Linked DNA regions of Cricetulus griseus. The protein of the gene in region 2 purifies or fractionates together with the protein of the main gene of each other region. This does not show direct contact. Links are inferred from orthologs where the notes say so. Each region holds a gene or a part of one and is shown on either strand. Other genes may lie near its edges. The genes, in order: Usp46, dystrophia myotonica WD repeat-containing protein and Usp12.

What was found.
Region 1: the proteins of dystrophia myotonica WD repeat-containing protein (region 2) and Usp46 purify together in Homo sapiens (affinity purification with mass spectrometry; 5 studies listed by BioGRID and IntAct, counting the BioPlex papers as one, with this or other methods). This does not show direct contact. The link is inferred for Cricetulus griseus from reciprocal best matches to the Homo sapiens genes DMWD and USP46.
Region 3: the proteins of dystrophia myotonica WD repeat-containing protein (region 2) and Usp12 purify together in Homo sapiens (affinity purification with mass spectrometry; 3 studies listed by BioGRID and IntAct, with this or other methods). This does not show direct contact. The link is inferred for Cricetulus griseus from reciprocal best matches to the Homo sapiens genes DMWD and USP12.

Annotation. Positions count from the first base shown.
Region 1 is NW_023276807.1:140,561,297-140,565,535, reverse strand, and holds the start of Usp46 (ubiquitin carboxyl-terminal hydrolase 46), read left to right. Parts: upstream 1-1,324; 5' UTR 1,325-1,468; coding exon 1,469-1,504; intron 1,505-4,239. UniProt on the Homo sapiens protein: Deubiquitinating enzyme that plays a role in behavior, possibly by regulating GABA action. May act by mediating the deubiquitination of GAD1/GAD67.
Region 2 is NC_048602.1:28,287,997-28,292,179, forward strand, and holds the start of dystrophia myotonica WD repeat-containing protein, read right to left. Parts: upstream 2,824-4,183; 5' UTR 2,787-2,823; coding exon 2,328-2,786; intron 300-2,327; coding exon 117-299; intron 1-116. UniProt on the Homo sapiens protein: Regulator of the deubiquitinating USP12/DMWD/WDR48 complex. Functions as a cofactor that promotes USP12 enzymatic activity.
Region 3 is NC_048597.1:82,630,846-82,635,089, reverse strand, and holds the start of Usp12 (ubiquitin carboxyl-terminal hydrolase 12), read left to right. Parts: upstream 1-1,333; 5' UTR 1,334-1,579; coding exon 1,580-1,627; intron 1,628-4,244. UniProt on the Homo sapiens protein: Deubiquitinating enzyme that plays various roles in the regulation of the immune response and inflammation.

The DNA.
Region 1 (4,239 bases), on a different chromosome or scaffold from region 2:
GGTAGGACACCTGATCTCTAAACCTTATGGAGCTAATTGTGCCTATTACGCATAGTCATGGAAGAAGTTGAAGGACTCCTAAAGTATATCGTAACTGGCAGCAGTAAAAAAATTAAAAATAAATTTTAGGTAGGATGACTAAGTGTGAGGAGGAATATTAGTCCTTCTACACACTGAAAAATGCAGTATCCACTTGATCCCCCAAATCTTCAGTCAGTAGTGTTTGTCTTCTATTCCCACCCCAGGTCCTAGAATTACCAATGGACAACTCTCACATGTTATGTGTATAAACCTATTTTCCCCCAGTTAGTTACTTTTGGCTAGATAAAGCTGTCTTCAATTATATTAATTTCTCTCCTAATTTAATTTGTCACAAAACACACTGGCCCAGCAATTTATCACGTTTCACAAGCACTGCTTCCCTGTGGGAAGCATAGAATTGTAACCTTGTCTACACAATTGTTCCCCACGTTTGAGATGGATTCTTTCAATCCTCATGAACTTATTCTTCAAGCGGGGTACACATTTGCAACCTGAGGTCTCTGCTTCTGCAGGACATGTAAAAACTCAAACAGCGTCCATTTCACAAAGCTGAGATCAGGAGCTCCGCGGGTGGGGGATACGGAAGTTTTGTTCTCATCTTTCCTGGACAGCCTCTAGTACCGCCTAGAACCTCTGCCTCTGTCACAAATCTCCGACAGTTATCTGCCTAGATCCGGAATTCTTTCCTTTCTGGCAGACCTTTTCCCAGGCTTCGGGGTTACTGCTGGCTAGGGCTTTCTGGCCACGCCCATGTCCTGGTCGTTTTTACTTTTCGGGTTCCGGCGGATGCCATCTGGCTGAAACCCAGGCGAGAAACTTTAAAGTTGGACTACAGTCACCCCTACTCCTTATATCCTCCGCTAACCAACACCTAAAGCTCAAGGCTTGTTGGAGACCAGCAGGAACAGAGGGAAACAGACAGAGGGAAATCGGGAACCGAGAGCTCTCGTGTTCCCGCGGTGCAGGTCCCCGGCCGGCGATCGGCCAGCGTCCAGCGCCCGGTGCGGTCCTGGGTCAGGCGGGAAGGCCGTGGTGCTGGGTTTATCTGGGGACCGTCTCTCGGTGCAGCCTGAGCGGAGCAGGACCCTGGGGCAGCGGAGCAAGAACGGCTGGCTTCCAGCGGGGTTGGGCGAGCGAGTCCGGGGGGACGAGCAGGCTGGCAGCGTGAGCCCAGGATTCCCGGCTCAGCGCCTCTCGACTCCGGGCTCCTCCTCCTCCCGCCGGCCGCGGCCCCGGCTGCGTCGCTCCGCCACTCCCCGCCCGCGCCGCCGCCCGCCCTCGCCGCGCCCGGCCTCTCTCGCCAACCCCACTGCAAGCCGGCCCCAGGCCGCCTCGCCGCCGCCCGGCCTCGCTGCGCGCCACCATGGACAGTCCCGTTTTCCCCTGGTAAAGATGGCGGTGCGCGATCGCTGCAACCTTTAGACTAATGACTGTCCGAAACATCGCCTCCATCTGTAATATGGTGAGTGGCCGCCGAGCCTCCGGGGGTCGCGCCCGCGGCGAGTCAGGCAAAGAAAGGGAACCCCGGGCTGGAGCTGCACGCGCGCCGTGGTGGCCGTAGGGGCTGTGCGGCCAGAAGTTCCCGGCCCCGGGGCAGGGCCGGCTGACCGCAGTCCCTAGCCTCTGTCCCAGTTGGGGACCTAGTAGATCCCGGGGATCCCCAGGGCGGCCCCATGCCCCCGCCCTCTAGCTGCGGTGTGGGCGGTGGGCGGTGGGTGGGGGCGAAGGGCTCGAGGTGGCACACCGATGTCCCGGGGAAGGACCGTGAGGGTACGAGCCCGGAGAGGGAGGACGCAGATCCTCCTGGTGCAGTAAATAAACCCTCGTCGGACTCCCTGACTGTCCTCTGAGTTCAGCCTCGATTGTATTTAAGATTCACTTTGCAACAGCAGTGCTCTTACCGGGAGAAATTGGATAGACATAAAAGCAGTGGAAAAAAATTCAAGTGCAGAATCTGGCTAGAGAGGTGAAGTAAAGCCGGGTATCAGAAAGCACGGAGGCGGATCTGTTCTGGAGGCCTCAGTTTACCCCACCTGCAGGAGAGATTGTACGGCAGTAACATTTGCAGGCCCTGGGGGAGCGAGGCAGCTGTGGGTGTGAGGAAGTCTGCAGGGGTCATCCTGCCCCGCCTCCTCTCCACTTAGCTTGGGCACTGCCCGGCATGTCACCGTTGTGATGGACTGAGGGGGCATGAGGAGTGGGGAGTGGGAGGTGGGGCATAACCCACCGGTCACTTCAGTGTGGATTTTCCCCATTACTTTGCTGTCCTGTTTAGTTTCCCTGAGACCTGTTTCCAGCCTTTGGGTCCCCTGTTACCTCCACTTGTGAGAGCCTTAGGGAGGTCAGTTTGGGGGTAAGGCATTGCCCACTGTGTGGGGCTTCAGGCTCTGCCTACACTCTCTGGATCCTCTCCCCTCTGAGCCCCTTCAAGCTGGAACACTGGTGTTTTTTGCCATTTTGGGGACCCCCTCACCCCACCAGATAGATAGTAATACTAGCCCCTAAAGGGAATCTGAGGAGGCCTGATTAAGAAGGCTTTAGGTAAGGTGATCTGGCTGCCCTTCCCCCCTCACACAGCCTTTTAAATCTTCTGTCCCACATTCTGTTGCAAGATCAACACATGGCACAGAGCATTAAGGAGCCATGTGTTAGCTCAGGTGGAGTTGAGACCTGCTGAGGCTGGCTCCAGCTTTCAGCACCGGCAGCCAAGGCCATGCCAGCAAGGCAAATGCAGGAGCTCCCAGAGTGATGGCTGCCTGCTTGGTGGTACAGGTCTCCTTAGATGATGGCAGTGGCTCCTGCAGCCTTGACATTTCCTCTTTCTGCTTGAAGACACAGGTTCCTGTCCAGTGGCATTAATGTCAATGGATGCCCTGAGAAGACAATGTATTTCTTCTCAGTGTCTTTGCTGTAACCCAGCTCCTGGGGCAAACTGTGAAACCACAGTGGCTTGAATGCTGTTTTTCCCACCTGTGGGGGTGGCCTCAGGCCTACAGGCTCCTGAGACTCAGTGCCTGCTTGTGATGCTGTTCTTGTCCAGTTTGTATTCAGTGACACTTCTCAGTATTGAAGCAGGGTGGAAACTCGAGAGCTAGCATGTCCCAAGAGGAAGTCTGCCTCTGGCTTGTTCTTGCCCTTGCTGTAGCTAGGACTTCTTGGCACACCTGGACATAATGTCACAACCTGTTTTCAGTGAAACTCAGCCAGAGAGACAAGCTTCTGGGAGGGCATGAAAGAAATGGGCCAGTATTGTGTCAATAGAATCAATGCTTCCTCTGGTGACCTAAAAGTACCAAGTTAAGGCCCATTACCCGCGCCCACCCCTTCCCATAGTGAAGTAAACCTAATACCTTCCTGTTTAAGCAAGTGGAGAGATATTTGCGTTCTAAGGTAAGGCTCTAGGTTCAATCCTGCTGATGTATTTATCTGTGGCTTGGATTTTTGAGACAGTCTCAATAGCCCAGGTAGACCTCCAGCTTGAGACTGCCTTAAACGCTGGATGACAGGTGTTCTTCACCCACCTCTCAAGTCCTGCTTGCAGCACACACCAGCTTTGTTTCTCTGATCACAGTGCTCTTTGCCTTGCTGTTGACTTGTAGAAATGGGCTGATAATGGTTGTGTTGAGTGATGAGTTCCTGGGGCTCAGGGCCATGAGTTCTCAGTGAGTTAGTTCCAGCCGCTCTGCTCAGTACTTTCTTTCTCATTGTGATGCCACCTTCCAGTCATTTCAGGGGCCATGGAAATCATGTCTTCTCCTACCTGAATAGAAACAGTCCATAGAGTCACTTATGCAAAGCCGGTCTGAATGACACTCTAGGAAAGCTGGGGTGGGAACTGGAAACCCCGCCCCTTATAAAAAGCTGCTCAGGTCGGTTCTGCCCCTCCCATTCTCATTTCCCAGTGGAGAAGAGTGGTGATGTGGAGACTGCTGTCTCTGACCCCACCGTGAGATACAAGCTCACTCTACCTCCGTGTAGAGACCTCACTTAACGATGAATTGTTTCCAGGTAGGTCTCTTCTGGGTCTCACTTGTTCCTGTGTTTCTCACCAGGTCTCTTACTTGATCCTTCCTGCTTTCTCCTTTTGATCCCCAGCTTGTTTGAGGAGTTGTAGGGCTAGCAGGTGTTGCTTTTTTTGTTTTTAATTTACTTATTTGGTACTGAGTGGCTCAAAAGAGACCCTTGCACATGCTAGGC
Region 2 (4,183 bases):
CTGTCACTGGTGCCCCTCTCCCTCACCCGGCCCCTCTCAAGCCTACTCTGTTCCCAGGCAGCTTAGTGTGGGGGTGGGTAGGTAAACAAGAAGGGGTGGCTCTTGCCCTCAGTCACCTCTTCATTGAAAAGCTTGCTGGTGTCCTTCTTGATGAGGTCCAGGTACTGCACCTGGCCGGCAGAGAAGCCCACCAGCAAGGAAATGGTCTCTGTGGCGGCCGTGAACTGGTTGAAGTCGTGGCAGGTGGGCTGGGTCCCCTTGTAGATGCGCTTGTCGATGGGCTTGTTGAGGTCAATGGACTTGAGCCGTGCGTGGGAAGAGAGTTAGTTAGCGGGTGAGAGCAGGGAGAGGACGGAGCGGAAGCTGAGGTCGGGGAAACCACCCAGAGGAAGCAGGGCTAACCTCGAGGGAAGTGGCCAGGAGGCTGGGGAGGGGCAGGCCACCACAGACTGAGAGGGGACTCAAACCCAGGACAGCACCACATGCTCACACGCAGGCCACCCAGTGAAGACCACAGTGTCCCCAAAGGCCTGGAGCTGACTCTCCTCCAGTCTTCCCAGCCACATCCAAAGACAACTCCAGTGGGACTCAGCACGGTATTTCAGGAGCCCCCCACCCCAGACCCAGACCCAAGGATTCGAAAATCCCAACATCCTAGGATTTCTTCCATTTTTTTTTGTACATGTGGCATATGCCTTTGTGCATGTGTGTGCACTATGCATGGGAATGGGGGTCAGAGGTCAACATTCAGCATCTTTCTGGGTGGCTTTCCATCTAGCATTTGACATAGGGGCTCTTAGTGAACCAGCAGCTCAGCAGTGCAGTTAGACCGCTGCCAGCGAGCCCCAGGGCCCCTGGCCCTGCCGCCTGAACTGCGGCTGCAGACTCATACATAGAGCTCACGCGGTTACATGGGCCCCAGGGGTCCAGACTCAGGTCCGCACGCTTTCAAAGCACACACTTCACCCACAGAGCCATCTCCAAGGCGTCATTGCCTTTCATCTGGAGTCCCTAAACTTCAGGACATCTGTCATAGCTGAGACACCCATCAGGCATCACGCTCCCTCATATTTTAGGTACACGGTCACCCCTGGACTCTCAGGAGCCCCTCCCCCCTCTGTCTCTCTCCCCCTGTCTCTCTCCCCCCTCTCTCTCCCTCTGTCTCTCTCTCTCCCTCTCTGTCTCTGTCCCTCTGTCCCTCTCTGTCTCCCTCTCCGTCTCTCTCTGTCCCTCAGCCTCTGTCTCTCCCTCTCTCTGTCCCCCCTCTATCTCTTTGTCTCTCTCTGTGTGTGTCTCTCTCTCTCCCTCTGTCTCTCTCTGTCCCTCAGTCTCTGTCTCTCCCTCTCTGTCTCTCTCTCCATCTCTGTCCCTCTCTGTCTGTCTCTCTCCCTCTGTCTCTCTGTCTCTGTCCCTCTGTCTCTCTGTGTCTCTCTCTCTCACTCACTCACTCTGTCTCTCTCTCTGTCACTGTCTCTCTCCCTCTGTCTCTCTGTCTTTGTCTCTCTCTGTCTCTCTGTCTCTGTCCCTCTCCCTGTCTCTCTCTCTCCCTCTCTGTGTGTGTCTCTCTCTCTCACTCACTCACTCTGTCTCTCCCCCCCCCTCTCTCTCTCTCTCTCACTCACTCTGTCTCTCTCTCTGTCACTGTCTCTCTCTCTCCCTCTGTCTCTCTGTCACTGTCTGTCTGTCTGTCTGTCTGTCTGTCTGTCTCTCTCCCTCTCTCCCTCTGTCTCTCTGTCACTGTCTCTCTCCCTCCCTCCCGCTCCTAGGACTCAATTGCTTTAGCGGTGTCTGCCTCACCTGGGGATGATGGCCCCTGCCAGAGACTCACGTCCCACCCAACCCCCTCCGTGTCCCCTCGCACTCCTGACAGGACACCGCACTCCTGACAGGACACCGCACTCCTGACAGGACACCGCACTCCTTAGGATCCCATTCAATACCGTCGCTTTGTCCGCCCACCCCTACGCCACACCTGCAGCCTTTTTTTTTTTTTTTAACCTGTGCGACTGCCATCTCCACCCCTTAGCAAACGCTCCCCACTCCCGCCTGGGTCTGGTTAGGTTCTCAGACTCCCTCCTCCCGCGCGCCAAGCGGGCGGCCCCCCTTCCCCCGCGTTCCCCACCTCCCGGGGGGGGGGACGACGACTGTGTCCCCAAAAACACCGCACCGCCCGCACCGTGCCTGTCCCCCCGGGGCATCCGGGCCCGGGTCCCGCCCCAAAGAACCCCGCACGGCAACGTTCCTCAGGCAGCCTGAGGCGGTGGGGCTCGCCGGGGGACACCCCGGGGGGGCCACCGGGGACTGAGGCGGGCGGGCGAGCGGCTCACCCGCTGGCTCCCGCGGCGGCAGCAGCCGGGGTAGAAGTACAGCTCGCGGCCCAGGTTGAAGCAGACGCGGTCTCGGCCGGAGCCGAGCCCCGAGGGCGTGGAGGGCGGCTCGCCGTCGCCGTCGGGCTCGCCCAGGCGCACCAGGCTGAGGCGGACGGCGGGCAGCGCGGGCCCCGGGCCGGGACCGGGGCCGGGACCCGGGCCGGGGCCGGCGGGCGGCGGGGACGAGGCGGGCCCGGGCGGCGGCTGAGGGGGCTGCGGCTGCTGCTGCTGCGGCTGCGGCTGAGGGGGCTGAGGCGGCGCCGGGGTCTGGGCCGAGGCCGGGCCCGGCCTGCGCGCCGCGTCTCCCGGGAGCAGCTTGTAGAAGCCCTCGCGGGTGCGGAACTGAGACTTGATCTCGGCGCACTCGCCCATGGCGCCGCCCGGGCCCGCGACGCCCTCAGCGCCGCCCGCCGCCATCTTGGCCGCCCGCGAGGGGAGGGGGGGGCTCGCCCGCTCGCCCGCTCGCCCGCTCGACACCCCCCCCACCCCACACACCCGCCACCCAGCCGGAAGCTGCGGACCTGGCGCCGGAAGGGGTGGGAGGGTCGTCGTCCGTCCGGGGTGACGCCTCTGCGATTGGCACCCCGCGAGCCGGAGGCGGGAGGAGCCCGGGCGGTTGCTGAGGTAACGGTTCTGAGGGGCTGGGGGGCGGGGTCGCGGGCGGTGTGGGCGTGGCCAACGGGAGCCAGCGAGCCAGCCAGCGACCGACGCCGGCCCGTGGGGGCGTGGCCCAGAGCCACGCCCTAGGCCCTGACGACCGCGCCCAGGGAGCCGTTTGCCTAGCAACGGAGAACCCTCAGGCTCTGTTGAGCATCCTCCTCGGGTTTTACAGACGACTCCAGGCGATTCTTTTTTATTTTAATTAAAAAATTACTGCATTTATTTTTGTAATTAAACAAATGACTGCATTTATTTTTGCTTTTTTTTCTTTTTTGGTTTTTTTTGAGACAGGGTTTCTCTGTGTAGCTTTGGAGCCTATCCTGGCACTCGCTCTGGAGACCAGGCTGGCCTCGAACTCACAGAGATCCGCCTGCCTCTGCCTCCCCAGTGCTGGGATTAAAGGCGTGCGCCACCAACGCCAGGCTATTTTTGCATTTTTAATTAAACAAATGACTGCATTTATTTTTGCATTTTTTTTAAAAGATTTATTATGTATACAACATTGTCTGCATGTGTCTGTCCCTGAACGCCTGAGGAGGGACCGGATCTCATCACAGACGGTTGTGAGCCACCGTGTGGTTGCTGGGAATTGAACTCAGGTCCTCTGGAAGAGCAGCCGGTGTTCTTAACCTCTGAGCCATCTCTCCAGCCCTATTTTTGCATTTTTTTTAATTAAACAAATTACTGCATTTATTTATTTTTGCTTTTTTTTTGCGTGGACCCGCACAATGGCGCGGTCAGAGGGAGTCGAGTCCCCTCCCACCTTGGGGGCCCCAGGGATGGGACCTGGCAGTAAGTGCCCCTACCCACTGGGCCATCTCACCGACGCTGGTTTTTGTCTCACGCTTGTGGCCCGGGCTGTCCTCAAACTTGGGCCCAATCCTTTCGCCTCAGCCTCTGGAAGTGCTTGGATTTCAGACCTGAGACGCCAGCCACACCCAGCTCCTCCTTTCATTTAGCGGGCGCCTCCTCTGCCCTCCCATGTCCCCCTGGCAGCCTAAACCTTCCTGTGGTCCCTCCCCTGCGGCTGACACAGGGAAGGGAAGGAAGCCCTCCCTGCCTGGCTGAGTCGGTCCCCGTTTTCTGGTTTTGTTTTCCTGACCATGGTCGGCTTTGTCGATTTGACGTTCAATTACCTAGAATCCCATGGAAGA
Region 3 (4,244 bases), on a different chromosome or scaffold from region 2:
CCTTGAATTCGCTACATAGCTGAGGATGACCTTACCATACCAGGGTTTATGAAGTGCTGAGATGAAACCCAGGAACGCCTACACCCCACACAGCACGTTACCAATTAAGCCATATGTTCAGCCTCCACCCTGACCTTTAAAACATAGATGTTGTAGGCCCATGCTCGAAAGCCAAGCAAGCAGACACTGCATAGACTTGACTGGTGTCAACCAGAGTCCAAGCCCCTGGCATGGTATGGTATCTATATTAAAGAGGGAGACTCCTCCTGTATGCAGGTAGGCACCTGGAGAGAGGCAGCTGCCAGGGGAGCTTAGCAGTACTCGGTGGTGTCCCCTCCCCCCCGACGCTTACAATGGAATTGCTATGGAAACAGCATTCATGTACCAGAAATCCATTTCTCGACTAAATTTTGTTCGAATTCTTTGTTTCTTTAATGCTTTGTATAAAGTGAGGCTTACCAGGTTTTAGAGCTTTGTCTGAATTCAGGCCCTAAGTTCCACAGACAAGTGGGGGTGCTGTGGGAGGAAGAAAAGGTTCCTACCCTCAGATCGCCAATCAAAACAAACCACAGGCTTTCTAATGTAGCGATTGATCTTATGAATTTTCTGCGGGGTCCGTCCACTAGCTAACACTGCGCATGTGCTCCTCACACTCTGGCTGCAGCTTCCTTCTTCGGACATCAACACCCCTCCTTCAAAAATTCCGAGTTGATATCCCACTGTCAAGCAGGATTGGCTCCCCTTCCTCTCCTCCCCCACTACTGTTAATTCAAAGAGCTAATAGGCATACTTGTTTGTCTTTTTACCTAATTAGTCTCTAAGAAGGGAGTTTGGCTCAGAAAAACACCAAGTGCTTGGGACGCTTTGGAGGGGTTGCTCTCCAACTCATCCACAGTTTCCCAGGCATAGCCTCAGTTTTCTGTCTCAACAGTGGCGCTAGCTGTCCTTTAGAGCTGTGGGTCAGTCGCTCCGAAGGCTGCTTACGGTCACTGACGCCGCAGGGCAAAAAGCATCGCGCTTTTCCCCAAGACACGCTCTCGTAGTTAGGGTGGCGACTGCGTGCCCGCGCTAGGACCCAGAAGCAAGTAGGACGCGGCCCCCGTCTCGCCCCGCCCCCGACACGCACTGGGTGGAGCCGTCTCCCTCAAAGCGCGCTCCCTCGAGGGAGGGCGGGGCATCATGGGCGTGGCACAGCTGCGGTGGGCGTGACGGCGGCAGAGTGGGCGGGGCGGCACGACGCTGCCAGGTCGGCCGGGCGGAAGGGCCTTGCGCGGAGCTCGCTCCCCAGCGCGCTGGGCGGGGTGTGCGGCGAGCGGCTTCCCGGGCAGGCGCGGGCCCCGAGGCGGCGGCTGCGCCGTGCGCCGGGGCGGAGCCGGGGGCGGGCGGGCCGGCGGGCGGGCGGGGGCTGGGCCGGAGGAAGCCTGAGTGCCCGCGGCGACGACGGCAGCGGCGGCCCAGCAGGCTAGAAGCGTGGGTCCACGGCGGCTCCGGGTGCGGCTGCGGGCTGCGGAGCGAGCGGGCGGCCCGGCTCCCCGCGTCCCCCGCCCGCCGCGACTGTCTGGAAGATGGCGCCGGGCGGATGGAAATCCTAATGACAGTCTCCAAATTCGCCTCCATCTGTACCATGGTAGGTGCGGCGGCAGCGCGGCCCGGGCGGCGGGTCCCCGCCTTCGAGGCGCCGCCCGCGGCCCTGCTCTAGAGCGAGCGGACAGGGCGCGGGGCCGAGTGGCCGTGGGGAAGGCGTGCTGGACGCAGCAGGCGGGGCTGGGACCGACCCCGGGGCTCCGAGCTGCGGACCGGAGCTGGGGACCGGGAACTCGGGGTCTGGGGACCGGGGGTTCGGGTACTGTGCCTGGGGGCTAGGGCCTGGGGACTCAGGGGCGGGGGTAGGGGTAAGGGCTGTGTACTGGGTCTGGGGACTTAGGGACTAGGGGTGGGGACTGGGATTGGGGGCTGGAGCCGGAGACTCTAAACGGGGGACTGGGGACTAGGACCAAGGGCTGCAGGCTGGGAGTAGGGCTGGGGGCCGAGTACTGGGAACTGGTACCGGGAAGCCAGGGGACTGGGCCAGGGGAAGGGACGCGGCGGCCGCTGCGTTTCCGTGGGTCTGAGCGCGGGGTAGGGCGGGGGTCTGCGGCAGGAAGGAAGGGTCTCGATCCTGCCGGAGGACGGAAGTCCTGGCAGAGTTACTCCTCGGGCTAGGTGGAGTCCCGGGGCCCGGGCTCGGGAAGGGGGCGTGTGACGGTGGAAAGTTTTAAGAGTGCTGTTGAAATGTTCTCTATTTTCTACTCGCCGAGGAGAAACGAACTCTTGCGGTTTCCAACCTGTGTCCGTCCAGATGGCAGCCTTGTCGCTGAGAGTCCGCGTTAATCTTGAAAAGCTGCACTAGCTTTCCTGTCATTTGTTTTACTTTAATAGAGCAGACGCCGCAGTGTGGGGTTGAAGTACACAGACCCCGAATAGAGCGAAACGTGGGTGGGTTCCTAAACGTGTTTTTTTGTGCATTGCCAGAAGCACCACCACAGTTTCCCACATGATGTGACAAATTCATTAGCTCCTTTCTGAACTTGTACGTAGAGGTTGCGATTTATGAATCACCGAAAAAGTTATTATTTGCAGTGTGGGTCTGGAGTTACATTACCAAAGATTTGCACCATCCTGTTCCGTTTTTATGTCCTGGATTTCATCTAGGAGATCCCCAGACTTTCCACCTGAAAGTGATCTGTGCTTTTGCTTTAAGGAGTGGAGAATCAGGTAGGAAAAGTGGATTTTCTACTGCATTTTGTGGAACAGTATTTAAAAAAGGGTGGAATCCGTGGGTTTACAGTCCACAGCATCAAAAAAGTCACAGCAAGAAGGAATCACTGGAGAATCGATTTCCCCACGTGAATAATTGTTCTTTCATGGTCTTCAGAAAGGGGCTATATTAACAGTTTCTGGGGTTGGTTGTACTCATTACTTTAGACCTGCCACATAGGATTGAATCTTTTACAGTGATAATTTTACCAGATTGCTGAGCTCCACACCTTTTGGGGTCATAGTTCATTGTCAAAGTCTAGGGCTTCAGGAGTGGTGTGATTCCCATGGACTGACTGTTCCTTCACTCAGTTACATCAAGTTTACATTTAGCACCTGCTGACTAGCACTGGCAATACAGAAATGATTCTGGCCGTCTCTAGCAGGACGTTTTCGACCATGCTTCTACATCCAGGACTCTGGATGCAGAAGGATCACAAGCTCTAAGCAGATGGAGTTACACATAGGGAGACCTTGTCTTGAAAAAACACGCCCACAACAAAAGGCAACCCCTACTTTCATGGTGTTTACTTTCTACTTGAGGAAGACAATTCTCATTTACATAGTAATACAGTGTACCTGCCAGGATTCTGTAGCAAATAAGGCTTCTTGTCAAGGATGTCCCAAACTCACCCTCGTTAGACATGTGGTATGTGTATGCGTTTTGGCAAATAAATAGACATCCATGCCTGGCCAAAGAAATTGTTCCAAAGGTGCTATTAAGATCAGGTGCATCTTGTTCATACTTGAATAAATTCTACTCCTCTCCCTGAGTAGGTACTGAACAGGTCAGAGTGTAAGGAGGGCTGCTGTCCATCTTCTGGGAATTATGAAAGTGAAAATCAGGAATGACAAAGGCCCTGTAGGTTCTGTTTTGCTTGGAATGTGAACTGTTCCATCATCCATGGACTATGCAGCTGTCTTTTAAGGAGGTCATCTGACCTGAACAACACCACTCTGCCCACTTGCCTCATACAATTGCACAGCATTTTTGTGATCTCAGAAGTGCTGTGCAGTATGTCATGTGTCGTCTCCCCCATTTTTATTAGGTTATGAGGTTTTTTTTTTTTCTCTGCTGGTGTTTTGAAACAGGGTCTTCTGTAGGTCGCATAGAGTTTGAATTTGGTATGTAGTGGTGGCTTGCCCTGAATGCCTGATTGTCCTGCCTCCACCTCCCAGCCTCTTGGGATTTCAGGTGTACATCATCGTACCAGGTTTAGACTGTGAGGGCTTTGAAGTTAAAGACTTAACTGCCATTTAACCATTTGTACACATTTACTAGTGGAAACAGTCCTCCATTTACTCACAGGAGGTGAGTTTGGAGTAGAGGTAAGGCTGGGCGTGGAACAGTGGAGAGAAGGAAGCCTGGACTTAGAACTGGATGCCTCGGAGAGTCAGCAGCTGCGAAAAGGTTTAGACACTTTGAATGAATTGAAATTTTACTCTGT